Linked DNA regions of Arabidopsis thaliana. The protein of the gene in region 1 purifies or fractionates together with the protein of each later gene. This does not show direct contact. Each region holds a gene or a part of one and is shown in the gene's direction. Other genes may lie near its edges. The genes, in order: AT2G44070, AT4G19006, AT5G19485 and AT5G45620.

Region 1 (4,008 bases):
ACACTTTAGAAAAATATAATTAATCATTTTCTAATGTATTATTTTTGTAATTGAGTAATTTGATTTAAAAATATAAACTAATATAATAATATTGGTATTTAATCATTTCAAATATTCTTAATTATATTCTTTTTGAATACACGCATATTGTTCTAAACTATTAATTTCTTACAAAAATTCTATATTATTTATTGTGTCTACAAACAAAAGAGTCGTCTAATCATTTTTGGTTTCATTTTTTTTTTGCTAGAAATCAAAAACAAATTCCTCATTTTTTTTGAGGTAAGCTAATGTTATTTTCTAATAACAATCATAAGTAATACCCGTGGTTTAAAGTTTACACGGTATTAATTAGGTACTACAGCCATGGTGGACGGTGGATCTTCATCACCTAATCCGTACAATTAAGAGACAATTAATTACATTAAATCATGTGCATTAGTTGATTTAGGAACTAATTGATAAATCAACTCTAAAGACTAAAGTAGTGCGATAGATAAAGCTAAAGTATATATTTTCTTCAGTATAAAGATAGGAATATATGGGGACATATACTTTTGTCGATTTTGTATCCAGCTTTGCATCAGTGAAGTCTGAGCGAAGATATGACCAGACTTAAAAAGCAACTAAAAAGATGCATAACAGAAACACAAAAATAAAATTCATGCATCTGCTAGTCATAGAGGTTATTGGATTCATTGCACGTATCTTAATGATTCGTTTTCGTTTCACCTCCCTTGCTACAAAAGATTTGAAAGAGAAAATGTTAAATTCTTTAGGTCAGAATCAATTAAGATAATTTCATTTTCTTCTTGTGTTTTGTACGTCACTTGTTTCTTTTTTCGTTGGTTATGTACCAAAACATGAAAAGTTCAAAAATTGTTAATTAGAAGATTAAAGAGAAGAGTAAGAATAAAGATGAAATGAGGAATTGATATGGAGGAGTAGGACCCAAGTTTGCAAGGATGGTGGCTGGCTGGCTGCTCTGTTGTTTGTTACATCTCATTCTCAATCTTAATTCCAATTCTATGTGCTTCTTTCACTATTTCCCTATAGAATACCATTCTTGTTTTTTTTTTTCAATTTTCAAAAACCACTATAAGGAACTTTTTCAATAGTTGCTTGTTTGTTTAGACCAAGGAAGATGTCAAATAGATTTCTTCACTTTTCAAGTGGAAGCAAAATTATGCGGTCAAGTGTATTATACTAGTGTGTGTTTTTTTTTGGTTTAATACCGACTAATTTCTAACTCTAATCTATCAGTGAACGTCTTAAAACTAATATTGCTGAAGAATATATTGTTCTCTGCTACAGCCTACAGCATTCAAAGTTTCATCAAAAAGATAAAATGTATATATAACTAAAAGTTTTGGGTTAATAGATAATAGTCAAAGAAGACATTCGTGTTGAATGTTTCTTTTTTTTTTTTTTTTTTATCGTGGGGATTGATTCAATGCATTGTTCCAACCTTTTGACTCTTTCTCGTGTTTCCTTTTTTATTCGTTTTCTGAATTATACTTTTTAGACCCTTTCCTCGAATTTTTACTTGAGCCCTACTCTAGTAATACATAAGCATATATATAAAAATCTCTCAAATTTGATTAGGACAGTTTTAGTATATAAAAAAAGGAAAAAACGCATTGTTTAAAACGTGGTCATGACGAAAACGTTTGATTTCGATCGATGATATTTAAATAAAGGAAACACCTAACCATATTTATTCTTAACTGATCAAAGATCCTCCAATTTCACGAAGCCTAAAACTCTCAAAAACAGATTCAATAACGTCACCAAACCTTGAGGCTTTTTAAAGGAAGAAGCATTTGAGAAAATCGTAACTTCTTGACCCTATGCATTCTGCTGTGTACAAGGTATGGTTAGTGCTTGTAATATACAATTATATAATCTCTTTGTTTTAATAAGTGGTTGCTCATTAAGATGAATGTTACTTGTCTAGTGAATGAGTATGACGTTGTTGTGGTTATCAGGTTGGTCTTCATTATCTTTCTTGGGATATTTCTGGTGGCAATGCCAGATGTATTGCGATGCTCCAAGCATTCCAAGAGGTTGTTAAAGATTACTCGACGCCGCCTGAGAATACCCTTAATAGAGACATGACTGCTCAAATAAGTAGCTACGTCTCTTTCCTCATAGAATGCCGTCCGCTTTCGATTAGCATGGGAAACGCAATCCGATTTGTGAAAAACAGGATTGCAAAGCTGCCTATAACACTTTCTGAATCTGAAGCAAAAGCTTCTCTTCACTCAGATATTGAACGTTTCATTAACGAGAAAATCATAGGTGCAGATACAGTGATAGTCGAACATGCTGTCACTAAAATAAGAGACGGTGATGTCCTTCTGACCTACGGATCTTCCACTGTCATTGAGATGATATTAGTGCATGCACATGAACTCGGGAAAAAGTTTCGTGTCTTTGTGGTGGATTCTCGACCAAAGCTTCAAGGGAAGCTACTGCTTCGTAGATTGATCAAACGAGGCATTAACTGTACATACACTCATATAACTGCCATATCATATATCATGCACCAAGTCACCAAAGTGTTTTTGGGCGCCTCATCAGTTTTTTCTAACGGAACAGTTTACTCAAGGGTTGGCACTGCTTGTGTTGCAATGGTGGCTAATGCTTTCCGTGTTCCTGTGCTTGTTTGTTGCGAAGCCTATAAGTTCCATGAGAAGGTGCAGTTGGATTATTCAATATGCTCCAATGAGCTCGGTGATCCAAATGCTATTTCAAAAGTTCATGGAAGAGAAGACATAAACTACTTAAATGGCTTGACCAACAATGCAAAGCTGAAGTTTCTGAACTTGATGTAAGCTAGCTTGTGTTAATCGTACAAGTGAAACTATATATGTTCTGTTAATACTATTCTTCTCTGCCTGCCACTAAACCCGTTTGTGATTTTTTTTCTAATGATAGGTATGATGCTACACCTTCAGATTACATTTCCATGATAATCACAGATTATGGCATGGTAAGATTAATCATATCGGCTCTTAATTAAAAACATAGCATTATGGTGATCAAGTGATCTCATCCCTAAACATAACTCATGCAACACAGTTTCTCCACTCATTCAGAATCTCAAACCATTGAACACTGACCATGTTTTATATTTCAGGTACCTCCCACAAGTGTGCCTGTCATCGTAAGAGAATATCAGAAAGAACACTTGCTTCAAAGCTCAAAGATTGTTATTTAGATGCTCAAAATAGAAGTAAGAATAAAAATGAAATGATATGGAGGAGTAGGACCCAAGATTATAAGGCATGGTTGCTGTTCTGTTGTTTGTTACATCTAATTCTCATTCCTTATTCCAATTCTGTGGGCTTCTTTCACTATTTTCCCTATAGAATACCATTCTCGTTTTTTGTTTCAATTTTCAAAAACCACTATAAGGAACTTTTTCAATAGTTGGTTGTTTGTTTAGACCAAGGAAGATGTCAAATTGATTTCTTCACTTTTTTGATTAATGTTTTGGGGTAATTAATTAGTCAAAGAAGACATTTGTGCTGAATGTTTTTTTTTGCTGAATGTTTTTTTTTTATCGTGGGGATTGATTCAATGCATCATATTGTTCCAACCTTTTGACTCTTTCTCTTGTTTCCTTTTCTTTTCTTTTTAGACCCTTTTCTCTAGTATAAGCATATAAATCTCTCAAATTTGATTTCGACGATTTTAATATATATATAAAAAAAAGAAATTCGCATTGTTTTAAACGTTGTTATGATGAAAACGTTTGAATTCGATTTTTTTTTTTTAATAAAAGTAAACACGTAACCATATTTATTCTCAACTGATCAAAGATCTTCTAGTTTCATGAAGCCTAAAAAACTCTCAAAAAACAGATTCAATAACGTAACCAAATAACATTGGAGGCTTTTTAAAAGAAAGAAACGTTTGAAGAAAATCGAAACTTGTTCACCCATATCACATTTTGGCTGCTGCTTCTGCCAAACGCTTCTTCTTCTTCTTGACACTAGCTGA
Region 2 (4,797 bases), on another chromosome or scaffold:
CCATATCTACGGGTTATCACTCTTTGTGATGGGATTGTTGTCTCTGGGATCAACTATTGTTGTTATGAAGAGGTTTGATGCTTCTGATGTTGTTAATGTAATTGAAAGGTTTAAGATCACTCATTTCCCGGTTGTTCCACCTATGTTGATGGCATTGACAAAGAAGGCAAAAGGAGTTTGTGGTGAAGTGTTTAAAAGTTTGAAGCAAGTTTCTTCTGGAGCAGCTCCTTTGAGTAGGAAGTTCATTGAAGATTTCCTTCAGACTCTTCCTCATGTCGATTTGATTCAGGTCTCTGAATTTTACTTTTGGATGTCGTTTTAGAAAACTGAATTAAATGTTATTCATTCATAAACTCAATAAGAAGTAGAATCTACATTTTTTAGAAAAATTTGACATCTCTTCCCAAAAGAAACAACTAAAATTGATTTAACGAGGCCATGACTTTTTGACTCACACTATTATTTTCTTTACATTTAGCTGAAAGTGTGTATAAAATGGATCACATTTTGTTGCAGGGATATGGAATGACTGAATCAACTGCAGTTGGAACACGGGGCTTCAACTCGGAAAAGCTTAGTAGGTATTCTTCTGTGGGACTACTGGCTCCTAATATGCAAGCCAAGGTAGTAGATTGGAGCTCTGGTTCTTTCCTTCCACCAGGAAACCGAGGAGAGCTCTGGATACAAGGTCCCGGTGTCATGAAAGGTAGATAGATTCTTCCTACTGTACTTCTTTACCAAAATAGTTGAGATTTTCCTTCTCAGTTCATGAATAAAGTCTTTTGTCAATGGTTCAAATCACTGAGAAACACTTGCATCCTAATAAATGTAAATATAGATTGGATCTTCCAACTTTCGTGGGGCTTATTTGGTGCTTGTGTTGATAGATTAGGCTTATTATCTTGTTCTTGATTTTGTGCTACATATTTTTATGGAACAGTTTTAATTTTACTTGGAGAGAATCTGAACACCGTTCATTTGTCTGTCAGGATACTTGAATAACCCAAAAGCAACTCAGATGAGTATAGTTGAAGATAGTTGGCTACGTACTGGGGATATTGCTTATTTTGATGAAGATGGTTACTTGTTTATTGTTGACCGTATTAAGGAGATTATAAAGTACAAAGGCTTTCAGGTAAAGGAACAGCAGTTTCTCTTTCAGCCAACTCTAAATTAGGAAATATTAATTCTTTGCATTTATGGTTTTTGCAGATCGCTCCAGCAGATTTGGAGGCTGTTCTTGTTTCACATCCCTTGATTATCGACGCTGCAGTAACAGCGTAAGTTCGAAAAAACAAATCTTGATCATTTACTAAACTAGTTTAATAAGTGAAAGATACTGCAAATCCAGTTTTGGAGAATTCGACAGAGTCTGTTACTCTACTGAAAGTATCCAAACTTTCCATTTCAGTGCCCCAAATGAAGAATGTGGAGAGATTCCGGTAGCATTCGTTGTCCGGAGACAAGAAACAACACTTTCAGAAGAAGATGTAATAAGCTATGTAGCTTCTCAGGTTAGGTTCCCACTAATTCAAAATGGCTTTTCCCATTTCAAAACACTGATCATTAATGTAATACATTATTATACATTACGTGTTCTAGGTTGCACCCTACAGGAAGGTGAGGAAAGTGGTGATGGTCAACTCTATACCAAAATCTCCAACTGGGAAGATATTGAGAAAGGAACTAAAGAGAATTCTTACAAACTCTGTTTCTTCAAGACTATGATTCTTTCTTCATTTGTTTGGTAATAAGTAGCAGACAGAGAGATCCACTAATATAGCCTTCATAACTCAATTCATTGGTTTTGTAGCATCAAAAGAAATAAACAGACACATTCTTTGATTCTCAGTGAATAAAGCATTGTAACCCAATACGGAAACAAAAATTCTTTCTGAGCCCAAAATGTAATTTTAGCCTTAGTATTTTATTTACATAAAAGTCCTTTTAATCGTTGGCTATTGCATTTATCGCCCAATACTTGTCTTTGAGCTCAAGAAATATAGTTTACTAAAAGGCTGGGTTTTTCTGGATTTCTTACTCCCAAACCGATACAAGATCGAAGCTTTGCCTTCTGTTTCTTCGAAAATCTACCATGGCTGCTCTACAATACCTTGAATCGCAGAAAAATGCGCACCCAGAGCTTGGTGAGTGGTACAATTCGCTCGCAGATCTGTACCAGAAGAAGCTCTGGCATCAGCTCACTCTTAAGCTCGAGCAGTTCATCGCTCTCTCTGTCTTTCAGGTCAATCTCTTGAATTTTCATCGTTTCGTAGTTCTTCTGTGTGATTAGGGTTCATAGATCTCGAGAAAGTTAATAGGAGTCGTCATGTTAGACTTGGGTTTATAGAGAGATCTGAAGGATTCGTTCCGACTCTTAGGTGATTTTTCAGATTCATTGAAAAGCTTTGTATTGGTGAATTATCGCACTTCTGTGACCAAAGCTTTCGAATATTTTAGCTCAGAGATACCCAAAAACTCAGCTTTACAAGGTTTACAGATTTGTTAATGACGTGTTTCCCCCTGTTTATGTTCATAATCTTTGCAGGCTGGAGATGCTTTAATACAGCTTTACAACAATTTCATCACTGACTTTGAGACGAGGATCAATCTTCTGAAGCTTGCGCATTTCGCTGTTGTAGTCTCCCGACAGTATCCTGAGAAAGAAGCTGCAGTTAGTTATCTTGAAGGAGTGATTGAGAAGCTTAAAGCTACTAAAGAGTCAAGGATAAATGAACCAATTAGCTATATAGAAACACAAATAGCTTTGTTCAAGCTTGAGCAAGGTGACCAGAAGGAGTGCAAGAAAATCTTGGACGATGGAAAAAGCCTGCTTGATAGTATGACTGACATTGATCCATCAGTTTATGCCAACTTCTTTTGGGTCTCTTCTCAGTACCATAAAGTCCGTCAAGAGTTCTCTGAGTTCTATAAAAATGCTCTTCTTTACCTCGCTTATACGTCTGTGGACTCACTCTCGGAATCATTTAAGCTGGTACGTCCCTCTGAATGTTCTAATCATTCATATATGATATATGTAGTCGTTACGTTACCAAATGGTCTTTTAGCAATTTTGGATAAGTATTAGCACTCTATGAAAGGAAACTTACAGTGAAAAATGCTTTATCTCTGTAAATTGCTTTGTGTTCCAATCAAAATGTTAATATCATATACTTTCGTTTCTTTCAGGATTTGGCTTTTGATTTGTCGCTTTCAGCTCTACTTGGGGAGAATATCTATAACTTTGGGGAACTGTTAGCCCATCCAATTGTAAGTTTCCCTTCATCCTCCAAATTAGCAAACCACAGATTTATTCACCATTATAGATAAAAGAACACTGACATGTTATATATGTTATGGCAGTTGAAAAGTCTGCTTGGAACAAATGTGGAATGGCTTTACCACATTCTACAAGCATTCAACCACGGAGATTTAGTTCAGTACCAAGAACTCTGTCGTGTGCACAATGCATCGTTGAGTGCTCAACCAGCACTGGTTGAGAATGAGAAGAAACTATTAGAGAAGATCAACATTCTCTGCCTTATTGAGATCATTTTCAGGTATTCATTCTCTGTAGGAGTCATCTTATACCCATATACAGATGAAAACAAACTTAGTACTTAACTTGTATATAACATCTTTGCCACAGCCGACCTGCTGAAGATAGGACCATACCTTTGAGTGTCATTGCCGAGCGTACTAAACTTTCAATCGAAGATGTTGAGCACCTTCTCATGAAGAGCTTATCGGTGAGTACCTTTTTCTTTCCTCTCTCTTTCTCTCTATCTCATTCTATCAGTAACATTAAAAATCTAAAGAAGATTGGCAAGACGCAGACTCGAAATCTTCTTGAATGTGTGATTCTGTATTGGTTGATTGTGAAAACTGAGGAGAATGAGTTATTGCAGGTGCACTTGATAGAGGGAATACTAGATCAGGTGAATGGAACAGTTTACGTCTCATGGGCGCAACCGAGGGTGTTAGGAATACCGCAGATCAAGTCATTGAGGGATCAGCTAGACAGCTGGGTCGATAAGGTTCACACCACATTGTTATCTGTTGAGGCCGAGACACCTGATCTTGTTGCAGCTTAAACTCTTCTTTCCTCTTTTTTCCTTCACTGTTCGTTTAAGCTACAGATTGTAACATTCTCTGAGGATTAAATGCAACTTCCTTTTAAGTTTTTAGGTATTACAGTTATACTTTTGAACTTTGTTCTCCACAGACACATGAATCTATCCTATTAAGTTGAGTTTCATCGTTAGTGTTGCCTTTAAGGCTTAAGCCTATTTGCATAACAAATGGTCCAACTTTTGTTATTAGACGTGTGAAAAACTCATAAATCTCAAATAGTGGAATGAATCCAAATTGTCAACTTCTGAAATGAAAAGTGTAAGGGTAAAATAGTCAAAACATATTAAACCCCAATTATCACCATCGTTTCGTTTCAATCAAAATTTTCCGATTTTGAGATTTTGAAACAGAGCAGTCAAGTCTCAAAGACTCCAGCTCATCTGTCTGCTTCGTAAGCTGCTCGCTCTCTAAATGTTTTGTCTTCTGGGGAATAGATTTTAGGGATCATCGGTAGATGCTGTTGGATTGACATAATCCAGATCTGATTTCTTCTACAAAAACATAGCTTTCTTCTCTGGGAACAATAGATTTTGATTGTTGTTTCTGGGTTTTAGATTTCTAATGTTGGGGTTTTGGTGATTCGATTTCTCAATAATGCTTCAAAATCGAAAATTGAATCGGTTAGAGCTATTTTGGGAATCTCTTTGCGTTAATTCGAATTAG
Region 3 (5,282 bases), on another chromosome or scaffold:
GCAACACAAATTTCAAAATTAGGGTTTTTATCTTCTTCCCCTTGACTTTGGAAGCTGCTATTCCTCTGTAAAACAATAGCATGAAGAAGAAGCTCCAGACACGTTTTCCAGCGGTATGAAACATTACTTTTCACTGTTTTATAGTTTGTTATGTTCTTCTTCTTATGGAGATAACCATGAACTCTGTTTTGTGAGTTGTGAGAGTAGTTAGGTTCAACTTTTGCTATGATTTCAGGTTTACTTCTTCAGGGTTCCATGGTCCTTGTCTTCATTAGGTTTTTAAATTTATCTTTGTGAATGTATCTTTGGACTTGGAGGGCTCTTTTGTTCATGGCTAGATATAAATAAACTGCAGAGATATCTTGTTTAGGGCTAATCAAAGATGTTGATATCTACATAAGAAATTTCTTAGTGTCTGAGTCTGATTTTGTATGTGTTGATATGTTCAAAATTTGTTTCAGACAAGGATTAAGAAGATTATGCAAACTGATGAGGAAGTTGGCAAAATAGCAATGGCAGTCCCTCTTCTTGTTTGTAAGTGATGTGATGTTTTTGATTTTCTTACTCAAACGTTGTTCATATGTTAGCTTGTGTCACATGTAGTTGATCTGTTCTGGTTTTGAATTTAACTTTTCAGCTAAAGCTTTGGAGCTGTTTTTACAAGACTTGTGTAATCACACGTATGATGTAACTCTAAGCCGAGGTGCTAAAACTGTCAACGCCTTTCATTTGTAAGTGTGAATCTCATCTTTGGATTTTGCTTATATAAACCAATTGTTTTCTTGCTTCTTCAATACTTTTCTATTCTTTTTCCAGGAAGCAGTGTGTGCAAGCGACTAATGTCTTTGATTTTCTAAGAGACACTGTCGCTAAAGTTCCTGATTTGGGTGGCTCAGACACTGAAGACCAATCAGCTACCAAAAGAAGGTTAGGCCCGCTTCTTCTATAGTTCTATTCTATGTCAGCAATCAATCTACCTAATTTTGATATCGGTATCGTGTCTAACAACTTGTTTGTTCGACTTTTCAGGAAAGTTGTTGATGGAAGTAGTTGCAACGATGAAGATATGATAAAGACCACTCAAATGGTAACTAGCCAGACTTATTTTGCCAATAGACAATTGTATATTACTTAACGCATATGTTTCGCCTTGTTACAGCATGAGGTCAAACATACTAGCTGTGGCAGAGGAAGGCGAGGTAGAGGCCGCGGACGAAGTAGTGGAAGAACAGGAAGTGGGCTGTCTCTAAAATTTGAAGAAGATTTAGAAGACGGTTCTCCCGAAAGCAGCAGGACCCCGTCTCCCGAAAACGGGAGCCTTTCTCACGACGATACATCTTGGAAGAAAGTTGCATCACACAACAATCATCATAGTAGTAACTCAGAGGTAAAAGTAAGGAACTTCGATCTTAATGTTGAATTAGATGAGAATGGAGACAATGCTACATGGCTGGAAACACAGCTAGAGAGAAGTCCAGATTACCCGTTGGAGATTAACGAAATGAAAATAGATCCTGATGATCAACAACAGGCTAGTGCTAGTGACGAGGAAGATTATGATGAAGAAAGCATAGACCAAGAGTGAAAGAGTTTCAGTTTAGGTGAAATGACTTAAAACTAAAGGTAGGAGAAAGAAAACAACAACTTAGGAATTGACACACTTATATATTATAGAAGCAGTGTGTATGTAGGAGATTGCTCTCATTCTCTTTAATGTAATTTCGTTTTTTTCATTCATCTCTTCTAATTTGATAGCAAGCTTTACACAAACTATAAAATCATATACATAAAGTATGGTTTAATCTTTGTTAATGTTTAATTTTAATTAAAATATTTAAGTGAGATAGATAACCCAAGATTAATGGAACGACCCGTCGGATCCAAAAGAAAGAAACAAGCGGGTTAAATTGATATCGTCTTCGTCTACCGTTTCTCAAAATCAAAACCCCAGAAAGCAGAAACCTCTCTTCTTCGTCTTCTCTCGTCAATTCAGCTGCGACAATGGATTTCCAGGTCGTGATTCTAGCCGGCGGATTCTCTAGTTATCTTGTTCCCTTAGTCGCCAAGGTCCGTCTCTCTCTTTCACTCTCATCATCAGCATAACAGTTTCGACGAATTGCTAATTTGTTGTTGTTGTTCAGGAAGTTCCTAAGGCGTTGCTTCCCGTAGCGAATCGTCCGGTGTTGTCTTACGTTCTGGATCTTCTCGAGAGTAGTAATCTCAAGGATCTGATCGTCGTACGCCTTTTATCTTTTCAATACAATTACTGATTTCCTTTTGCGAGTTTCTAGGTTGAATGTTTTCAATAGAGCTCAGATTTTTTCGTTTCGCATTGGTGGAACAGGTTGTTGAAGGGGAAGATGCTGCTTTGAAAGTTGGTGGATGGATTTCTTCTGCTTGTGTTGATCGTTTACATGTTGAGGTATTTACTCATCTATGGCATCTGAATTCTGTAAAACTCTATGCATGATTGAAAGAAACTAGTGTCATATTCGTTATTAATGTTCTGCTGGATATTTTACTTTAGGTTGCTGCTGTTGCTGAGAATGTTGGAACTGCTGGGGCACTCAGGGCAATTGCACACCACTTAACTGCCAAAGACATTTTGGTTAGCTTTTCAATAAAGACGTCTCGTAGCTTTTGCTTTGTGCAACTTTTTGAGCTTCTAGTTAACTGGTAATTTGCTTTGACGTAGATCGTAAGTGGAGACATTGTTTCTGATATTCCTCCTGGTGCTGTTGCCGCCACTCATAGAAGGCATGATGCAGCAGTGACTGTTATGCTTTGTGCTCAACCTGTCAGTGGGCCATCAGAATCAGGAGGTTCTGGTGGGAAAGATAAAACCAAAAAACCTGCTTGCGATGATATCATAGGGCTTGATTCCTTGAAACAGTTCTTGTTATACATAGCCAAAGGTCCTACTTTTAATTTTTCTTTATGTTTCTTAGAGGTAACAAAATGCTTGAACTTGTTGTTGGTTTACCTCCTGAAATTGTGTTAGGTACTGAGATTAAGAAAGATACCCGAGTAAAAAAGAGCATTCTCTGTGCGGCTGGCAAGGTAATGTTCTTATTAAGTTTTTGAAATTACCTACAAATGCATCTTTTTATGATTCATATATTACAAATTCTTAGTACAGTTTCTAATTATCTTGTCATTTTCGATTTAGATGGAAATTCGATCAGATCTGATGGATTCTCATATATATGCCTTCAAGAGGTTGGTCAGATCTGCTTTCCTGCTATCAAAGTAGTTTTATCTGTCGATACTCAATATGTTCTTTTGTCTTACAGAGCAGTTCTGCAGGAAGTTTTGGATCAAAAACCTGCTTTTAGGAGCCTAAAACAGGATGTACTACCGTATCTTGTTCGTACACAGCTGGTTAGTCGGATACGGTCCTTGCAAATGACCATTTTTTTTTTATTACCATTTTGATTCCTTATTTGTGCGGTTTCCCCTTGAGTATCAGAGATCAGATGTCTTCTCTGACCAAAGTAATGTAGAAGAAAATGGGAATGGAAATGGAAAAAATAATATGCAGAACAACGAGGTGGTCTTGTCTCAAATTCTCTCCAACGCATCCATGCCAAGCTTTCATCAAGTCTATGAATCAGGTCTGGGTACCCGGAAAACCCATAAATGCTGTGTTTATATAGCGGATGAAAGTAAGTATTTCGTCCGCTTGAATAGCATTCAAGCCTTCATGGACGTAAACAGAGATGTAAGTTGTTTACACATGGGATTCCTTCTCCAGTATTTTTTTCTCAGTTGACTTATGAAGCTCCGCAATTGTTCAAACTTGTGCAGGTTATTGGTGAATCAAACCACCTATCTGGATACTCCTTTTCTGCTCATCACAACATTGTCCACCCATCAGCTGAGCTTGGATCGAAAACCACAGTACGTAACTCTACATGTGTAGATATTGAGCATTTGTTCTGTGAGTTGTGATCGTGAATAACAATTTTTGGGTTGCAGGTTGGACCTCATTGTATGCTTGGAGAAGGCTCTCAAGTCGGTGATAAATGCAGTGTCAAAAGATCTGTAATTGGGAGACATTGCCGGATAGGCTCCAATGTGAAGGTAATAATTAGCTTTTTACTCAAGCCAGCCAAAGAAAGGTGGTGTACATCTCGAAAAGACACTCAACTGCTTGTATATGTGGGTGCAGATTGTTAATTCAGTTGTGATGGACCATGCCACAATTGGAGACGGATGTTCAATACAAGGCTCAGTCATTTGCAGCAACGCACAGCTTCAAGAGCGTGTTACTCTAAGAGACTGCCAAGTACGTTACCCCCTTCAGTTTTCATAATACAGTGTCCCCTACGTATCAATGCTTTTACAGATTCCATAATCAAAACATCAATTGGTTTTATAGGTGGAAGCAGGGTATGTTGTTTGTGCCGGGAGTGAGCACAAAGGAGAGACCTTTGCTAGAAAATGAAAAGGAAGGATAAGCAAATGAGGTCACATCTTGGAACGCTTTTTTAAAATGAAAAGCAGCATTACTTAGTCATTCGTTTGGTAGGAGAGAAGAGTGTGAAGGATTGGAAAGTTTCCCACTAAGGGTTTTGTTGATTAAGAGTTTGAGATTTTCCGTTAGTATCTTTTACTGATAGAGTTTGATCTTTTGCTATTCATTACATATACATGAAGTCTTGAAACACTTTGTCAGCCACTGACCCTTCTCTCTGTTCCGTTGGTTATATTACATATGTCTTTTTTTGTTCTTCTCATTATTTACTCTTTTGTTCGAGATAAAACACTTTCCTGAAAGATCTAAATTTTGTTTTTGGTATTTCCATAGAGACGAATACACCCAAAAAGTCACATGCCTTCAGATTCGATAAATTTCAGAGTAAATGATTTCGAATGTATGAAACCTTTCTGTTTAAATAGTCACGAGAATAGATAAACTTCATAGCTTGTTTAAAGTGTAACAAAATGTACAAGTTGTGATTCTTCTTGGCGAACTTTTCGTTGCTTAACCCCTCCTAACTTCTCCCACAATGCAATTTTTATTTAGAGATTAAACCTGCAAAACCAAATCCAAATCATTTTATGTTATGTTGAGACAAATCTACACCATATAGAAACATTTCTAATTATTTGAGACTCCAAAATAAAGTTAGTGCACTCTCGGTCGCTAGAGTTCCAGGTTATCTTCTTATAAGCCTTAGACAATAATTATTTCTTCATGTTTAAAACAACCATAGCTTTGTTGACTCAATCATATTCATCATGTACAGTACCGTTGGTTATGACAGACGCAGCCCCAT
Region 4 (4,731 bases), on another chromosome or scaffold:
CTGTAAACTATATAACAATATCAGATATTCAAATTTTTCATTTAACATGCTTTCAAAATAAATTTTAAATAGCAAACATAACCGTTGTTGTTATCACCGGTCATCAAGTTGTTGTTATCACCGGTTATCAAAATGTTATCTAATTAATTCCAAAACATAACCTAATAGATTAAATTGTCATTGATCAAAACATAACATAAAAGAAAAATGAGCAAATAAACATCTTAACATGAAAACATAAGGTAACAACAATATACAAACTATTTATGATATCTATATTTACGGATCCATCGTAAATAATCATCTTTCGCTTTAAAGTTTTTGATGGAGCAGTCGGTAAAACTTAGGATCCAAAAAACTTTTTGTACTATTACTATTATTTATGGTTAAAATTCTCTTTTTCTTATTAACTTGATTTCTTTATGTGTTTTATATTATTTTTATAAATAATTGAAAATCATTTTTAAAATTTGCAATATTTTATTAATATTGTAAAATACCGTCATAATAAAAATTATTATGGTAAACCATAAATAAGATTATTTAGTAATCAAATGACATTGATCTAATATTTATATTTTTCTTTTCTGAAAAAAACTTTCTGGTTCGTTTCTGTTCCGGTTTTCAAAACTCTGTCCGGTCATGTGGAATGCTAAATTACAAATCCACCTTATTATAATTTAAATTACATAAATACCCCTTAAAACTCACATATTTATACTTTGGTCCCGGTAGTTCTCTTTTCTTTTTAAATTAAAGGATTATCTGCTTAGCAAAAAAGAAGAAGAGAAAAGGCAATGTTTTGAAACCCGACCCGGACGATGAACCGGACTACCTTCTGGGTCACCGGGTCACCGGGTCAACCGGGTTGGACCACGGGTTAATTAGTTAAAATTTATTTAATAAATTTAATATTAATAGAAAATTTAGAGTATTTTATAATAAAAAAATTTGTAGTATTTATAAATATAAAACAAAAATAATCATATCATATTTAATCAAATATAAAATTATATTATATTTAACAAAATATAAAATCATTTACACCCAAATATATATATATATATATAGAAAAAATCAAACAATAATAATAAAGTGGTTAAAAATTTGAAATCCAATAAATGTCTAACACCGTAACAAATATATTAGGAGATCATCAATGACATAAATAAATTAATAAAACATCGTGAATTAAAACAACTAATCTCGGTTGTCTCTCTCACCATTCGATTCAATTTTAAGGCGGTATTGTAAAGTCTTCAACAAAATCTAAAACATCAAATGAATTTAAGAACTGAAAAAACTTCTAAAAATAATTGAATAAAGTCTAAAATCCCATATTTTATTGTAAAATCAAGAGAACTTTTTAAAACCCACACCCGGCCGGTTCAACCGGTTCACCGGGTCACGGGTTAATTGCGAGTTTTTGTGGGTTTTTTCGGTTTTGAACTTGTTGGGTTTTAGCACTAAACCCAAACCGGAAAAGTGTTCGGGTTACGGGTTAACCGGTCGGACCGGACGGTTCGGGTCGGGCGTGAAAACACTGAGAAAAGGGTTTTTTAGGATTCTTTAAACGCAGAGCTGAGCTGAGTTACATAAGATCGAGAGAATTCGCAAACTCGTTTCTTCATTCGTCTTCGTCTTTCGCCATGGCTGCTCTACAATACTTGGAATCTCTGAAAAATACGCATCCAGAGCTCGGCGAATGGTACAATTCCCTTGCAGATCTGTATCAGAAAAAGCTCTGGCATCAACTCACCCTTAAGCTCGAACAGTTCATCGCTCTCGCTGTCTTTCAGGTACTTTTGCTTCTCCTCCGTAATACTAATTGGTTTCAATATCTATCTAGGTTTAGTAGTGGTCCTTGTGGATTTTAGGGTTCATAGATCTCGACAAATATCGTAGAATCTGTGTTTTTACTTCCGAATAACACGAGTTAGAGATCCGTTTGGAAGATGATAGGGTTTTCTCGGATTAAGTTCTTCGAAGAAAGTTAGGTTTTAGGGTTTATAGATCAATTTTGATTGCTTCCAAGTTTTTGTGTCTGATCTTAACCTGTGTCATTGTTATAATATAATTTTTTTTCATTTCAGGCTGGTGATGCTTTGATTCAGTTCTATCACAATTTCATCACTGACTTTGAGACGAAGATCAATCTTCTGAAGCTTGCGCATTTTGCTGTGGTGGTCTCTCGACAGTACTCTGAGAAAGAAGCTGCAGTTAGCTATCTTGAAAGCGTGATTGAGAAACTTAGAGCTACTAAAGAGCCTAGGATTACTGAACCAATCATTTATATTGAAACACAAAAAGCTTTATTCAAGCTTGAGCAAGGTGATCAGAAGGAGTGCAAAAAAATCTTGGACGATGGAAAGAGCTCTCTTGATAGTATGACTGACATTGATCCATCAGTCTATGCCAACTTCTATTGGGTGTCTTCTCAGTACCATAAGTGCCGTCAAGAATTTTCTGATTTCTACAAAAGTGCTCTGCTTTATCTTGCATACACGTCTGTGGAGGACCTTTCAGAATCGTTTAAGCTGGTATGCCCCTGTAATATTATGTACCTTGTTCTTATATTTTGTTCTTATGTTAAGTTTCCTGTTAGCGATAGTGGATAAGAGTATTCAGAAATTTGATGAAATTTAGAGGAAACTGAAGAAAAAAGTTGCGTACTAGTTAGCTTCCCTAGAGTCACCGATCAAATTTTGCTAATGTCAGATCATATCTGTGTCTTTCAGGATTTGGCTTTCGATTTGTCACTATCAGCTCTACTTGGGGAGAACATCTATAACTTTGGGGAACTGTTAGCCCATCCCATTGTAAGTTTTCCTTCATCCTCGACATAAACTACTGTTATATTTTCTTGTGTAGATAAAAGGCTTCTTGTTGATCTTTAATTGCTTGGATTTACGATAGATACTGTTTGTGAGTTGAGACGGCTTCTAACTCTCATGTTATAGTTTTGCTTAGAATTGTAGATGGTTCTCTTACATGTAGCATTTCTCTGATGACAGTTGAAAAGTCTCCTTGGAACAAATGTGGAATGGCTCTACCACATTCTACAGGCATTCAACCATGGTGATTTAGTTCAGTATCAAGAACTATGCCGTGTGCACAACGCATCCTTGATTGCTCAACCAGCACTTGTTGAGAACGAGAAGAAGCTTTTGGAAAAGATCAACATTCTCTGCCTTATCGAGATCATCTTCAGGTAAACTTTTCTCTAGGCAATTGTACCTCACGCCGTTTCAATCAAAGAAATAAAATCATGTGCTAATACATTTGATTTTAAACTCTACATCAGCCGACCCGCTGAAGATAGAACCATTCCTTTGAGCATCATCGCTGAGCGTACTAAACTTTCCATTGAAGATGTTGAGCACCTTCTCATGAAGAGCCTTTCTGTAAGTATTAGTATCTCCTTGCATTTTTCTCTCTTGTGTTCTTTTAGTACCCAAAAAACTCTGCAGCTTCCGGGTTAAAATCTGTTGTGGTGACCAAGGAAAGAGTTTGTCTGAGTGACCAACATAATGATACTGAACTACCTGTCATCTGATTAAGAACAACATAGTAAACATCACCATACGCATTGTATCTCTAGGTTTATGTATTTGCAGTTGTCGTCTTATTGCGTAATTTTGTTATAGAACTCAAATGATCTTGACTGGTTTTGTTCCTGACTTAGACATAGAATGATTGTGTATGCTTCTGTAGAATCTAAAGTGGAAAATGAATGATACAGGTGCATTTGATCGAGGGCATCATAGACCAAGTGAACGGAACAATTTATGTCTCATGGGCGCAACCGAGAGTACTAGGGATTCCACAGATCAAGGCTTTGAGGGATCAATTAGACAGTTGGGTTGACAAAGTTCACACCACTTTACTATCTGTTGAAGCCGAGACACCAGATCTTGTTGCAGCATAAGAGAAAAGAAAACCTTCTTCCTCCTTTTGAAGCTACTGAATGTAAAACACCATCTTCTCTGGGATTAGATTCAAGTTTTTTATTTCAGTCGTAGAAGAAATTACAATTGCTTTTTAATCTTTTGACTTCCATTTCAAGATGTCCGAAATTTCAGTTCTACATTTAGACTATTTTCATACATTTTTTCTTAAAACATGTCCTTGACAATCATTCATTATTCACATAACCATAACAAGTCAATCAGTTTATAGAAAAAGTCATCTGATAGGATCTAAACGTGGACTCACTCACTCTGAATAGTTGATTTGAGCCTAAAATTTGGGGATTCTCGCGGCTTCTGGCACTGGTCTCCGATTACGTCACTTCCCGATGATTTCATCTTGGACTCATAGCGCGTATACCAAGATTCAATTCCCAACAATCTCACTCCTTTCAAGGCGTTTCCGATCATTGTTACGTTGCACAGAACATTGTCTCTATGCACTCCTCATAACCCTGAAACACGTCACTACCGTTGGTATATTCTTTCTCCGACGCAATGGCTTTATCCTTATCGCTTCTCTTCCTCCTATGCCTGCTCATGGAAGCTATATTGCTTTAGGTTCAAAAGATTTACGTTTTTAGATGGCGTTTATGATTCCGGTGTGACTTCGAGAGTGTTAACCACTGTGGAGATGTGAATTCTAAGAAGTGAGAGTATATATGCGTGTGTCGTTGATGATGTATTGTACTACTAAATTTGTGCTCTAAACCATAACAGCTAGACATAATTCTAAATTTCATGTTATGGTAGGAAGATTGTT

Evidence for each region.
Region 2: the proteins of AT2G44070 (region 1) and AT4G19006 fractionate together in Arabidopsis thaliana (co-fractionation; one large-scale study listed by BioGRID). This does not show direct contact.
Region 3: the proteins of AT2G44070 (region 1) and AT5G19485 fractionate together in Arabidopsis thaliana (co-fractionation; one large-scale study listed by BioGRID). This does not show direct contact.
Region 4: the proteins of AT2G44070 (region 1) and AT5G45620 fractionate together in Arabidopsis thaliana (co-fractionation; one large-scale study listed by BioGRID). This does not show direct contact.

Annotation. Positions count from the first base shown.
Region 1 is NC_003071.7:18,230,312-18,234,319, reverse strand, and holds AT2G44070 (NagB/RpiA/CoA transferase-like superfamily protein), read left to right. Parts: upstream 1-1,689; 5' UTR 1,690-1,850; coding exon 1,851-1,871; intron 1,872-1,988; coding exon 1,989-2,833; intron 2,834-2,912; exon of another isoform or gene 2,913-2,930; intron 2,931-2,940; coding exon 2,941-2,995; intron 2,996-3,142; coding exon 3,143-3,223; 3' UTR 3,224-3,455; downstream 3,456-4,008. Other genes in the region: AT2G44065 (Ribosomal protein L2 family), read right to left, coding at 3,952-4,008.
Region 2 is NC_003075.7:10,408,646-10,413,442, reverse strand, and holds AT4G19006 (Proteasome component (PCI) domain protein), read left to right. Parts: upstream 1-1,975; 5' UTR 1,976-2,095; coding exon 2,096-2,245; intron 2,246-2,548; coding exon 2,549-2,995; intron 2,996-3,189; coding exon 3,190-3,270; intron 3,271-3,363; coding exon 3,364-3,560; intron 3,561-3,649; coding exon 3,650-4,094; 3' UTR 4,095-4,295; downstream 4,296-4,797. Other genes in the region: AT4G19010 (AMP-dependent synthetase and ligase family protein), read left to right, coding at 1-289, 517-706, 990-1,135, 1,213-1,280, 1,412-1,514, 1,603-1,728. UniProt on the Arabidopsis thaliana protein: Acts as a regulatory subunit of the 26S proteasome which is involved in the ATP-dependent degradation of ubiquitinated proteins.
Region 3 is NC_003076.8:6,573,072-6,578,353, reverse strand, and holds AT5G19485 (transferases/nucleotidyltransferase), read left to right. Parts: upstream 1-1,819; 5' UTR 1,820-2,001; coding exon 2,002-2,067; intron 2,068-2,141; coding exon 2,142-2,237; intron 2,238-2,344; coding exon 2,345-2,422; intron 2,423-2,527; coding exon 2,528-2,608; intron 2,609-2,695; coding exon 2,696-2,915; intron 2,916-3,001; coding exon 3,002-3,060; intron 3,061-3,169; coding exon 3,170-3,219; intron 3,220-3,293; coding exon 3,294-3,381; intron 3,382-3,469; coding exon 3,470-3,721; intron 3,722-3,807; coding exon 3,808-3,900; intron 3,901-3,978; coding exon 3,979-4,083; intron 4,084-4,171; coding exon 4,172-4,288; intron 4,289-4,381; coding exon 4,382-4,447; 3' UTR 4,448-4,762; downstream 4,763-5,282. Other genes in the region: AT5G19490 (Histone superfamily protein), read left to right, coding at 81-113, 462-534, 638-731, 817-927, 1,030-1,087, 1,160-1,585.
Region 4 is NC_003076.8:18,499,941-18,504,671, forward strand, and holds AT5G45620 (Proteasome component (PCI) domain protein), read left to right. Parts: upstream 1-1,545; 5' UTR 1,546-1,649; coding exon 1,650-1,799; intron 1,800-2,093; coding exon 2,094-2,540; intron 2,541-2,738; coding exon 2,739-2,819; intron 2,820-3,014; coding exon 3,015-3,211; intron 3,212-3,304; coding exon 3,305-3,404; coding exon of another isoform or gene 3,405-3,482; exon of another isoform or gene 3,483-3,742; coding exon 3,743-3,928; 3' UTR 3,929-4,204; downstream 4,205-4,731. UniProt on the Arabidopsis thaliana protein: Acts as a regulatory subunit of the 26S proteasome which is involved in the ATP-dependent degradation of ubiquitinated proteins.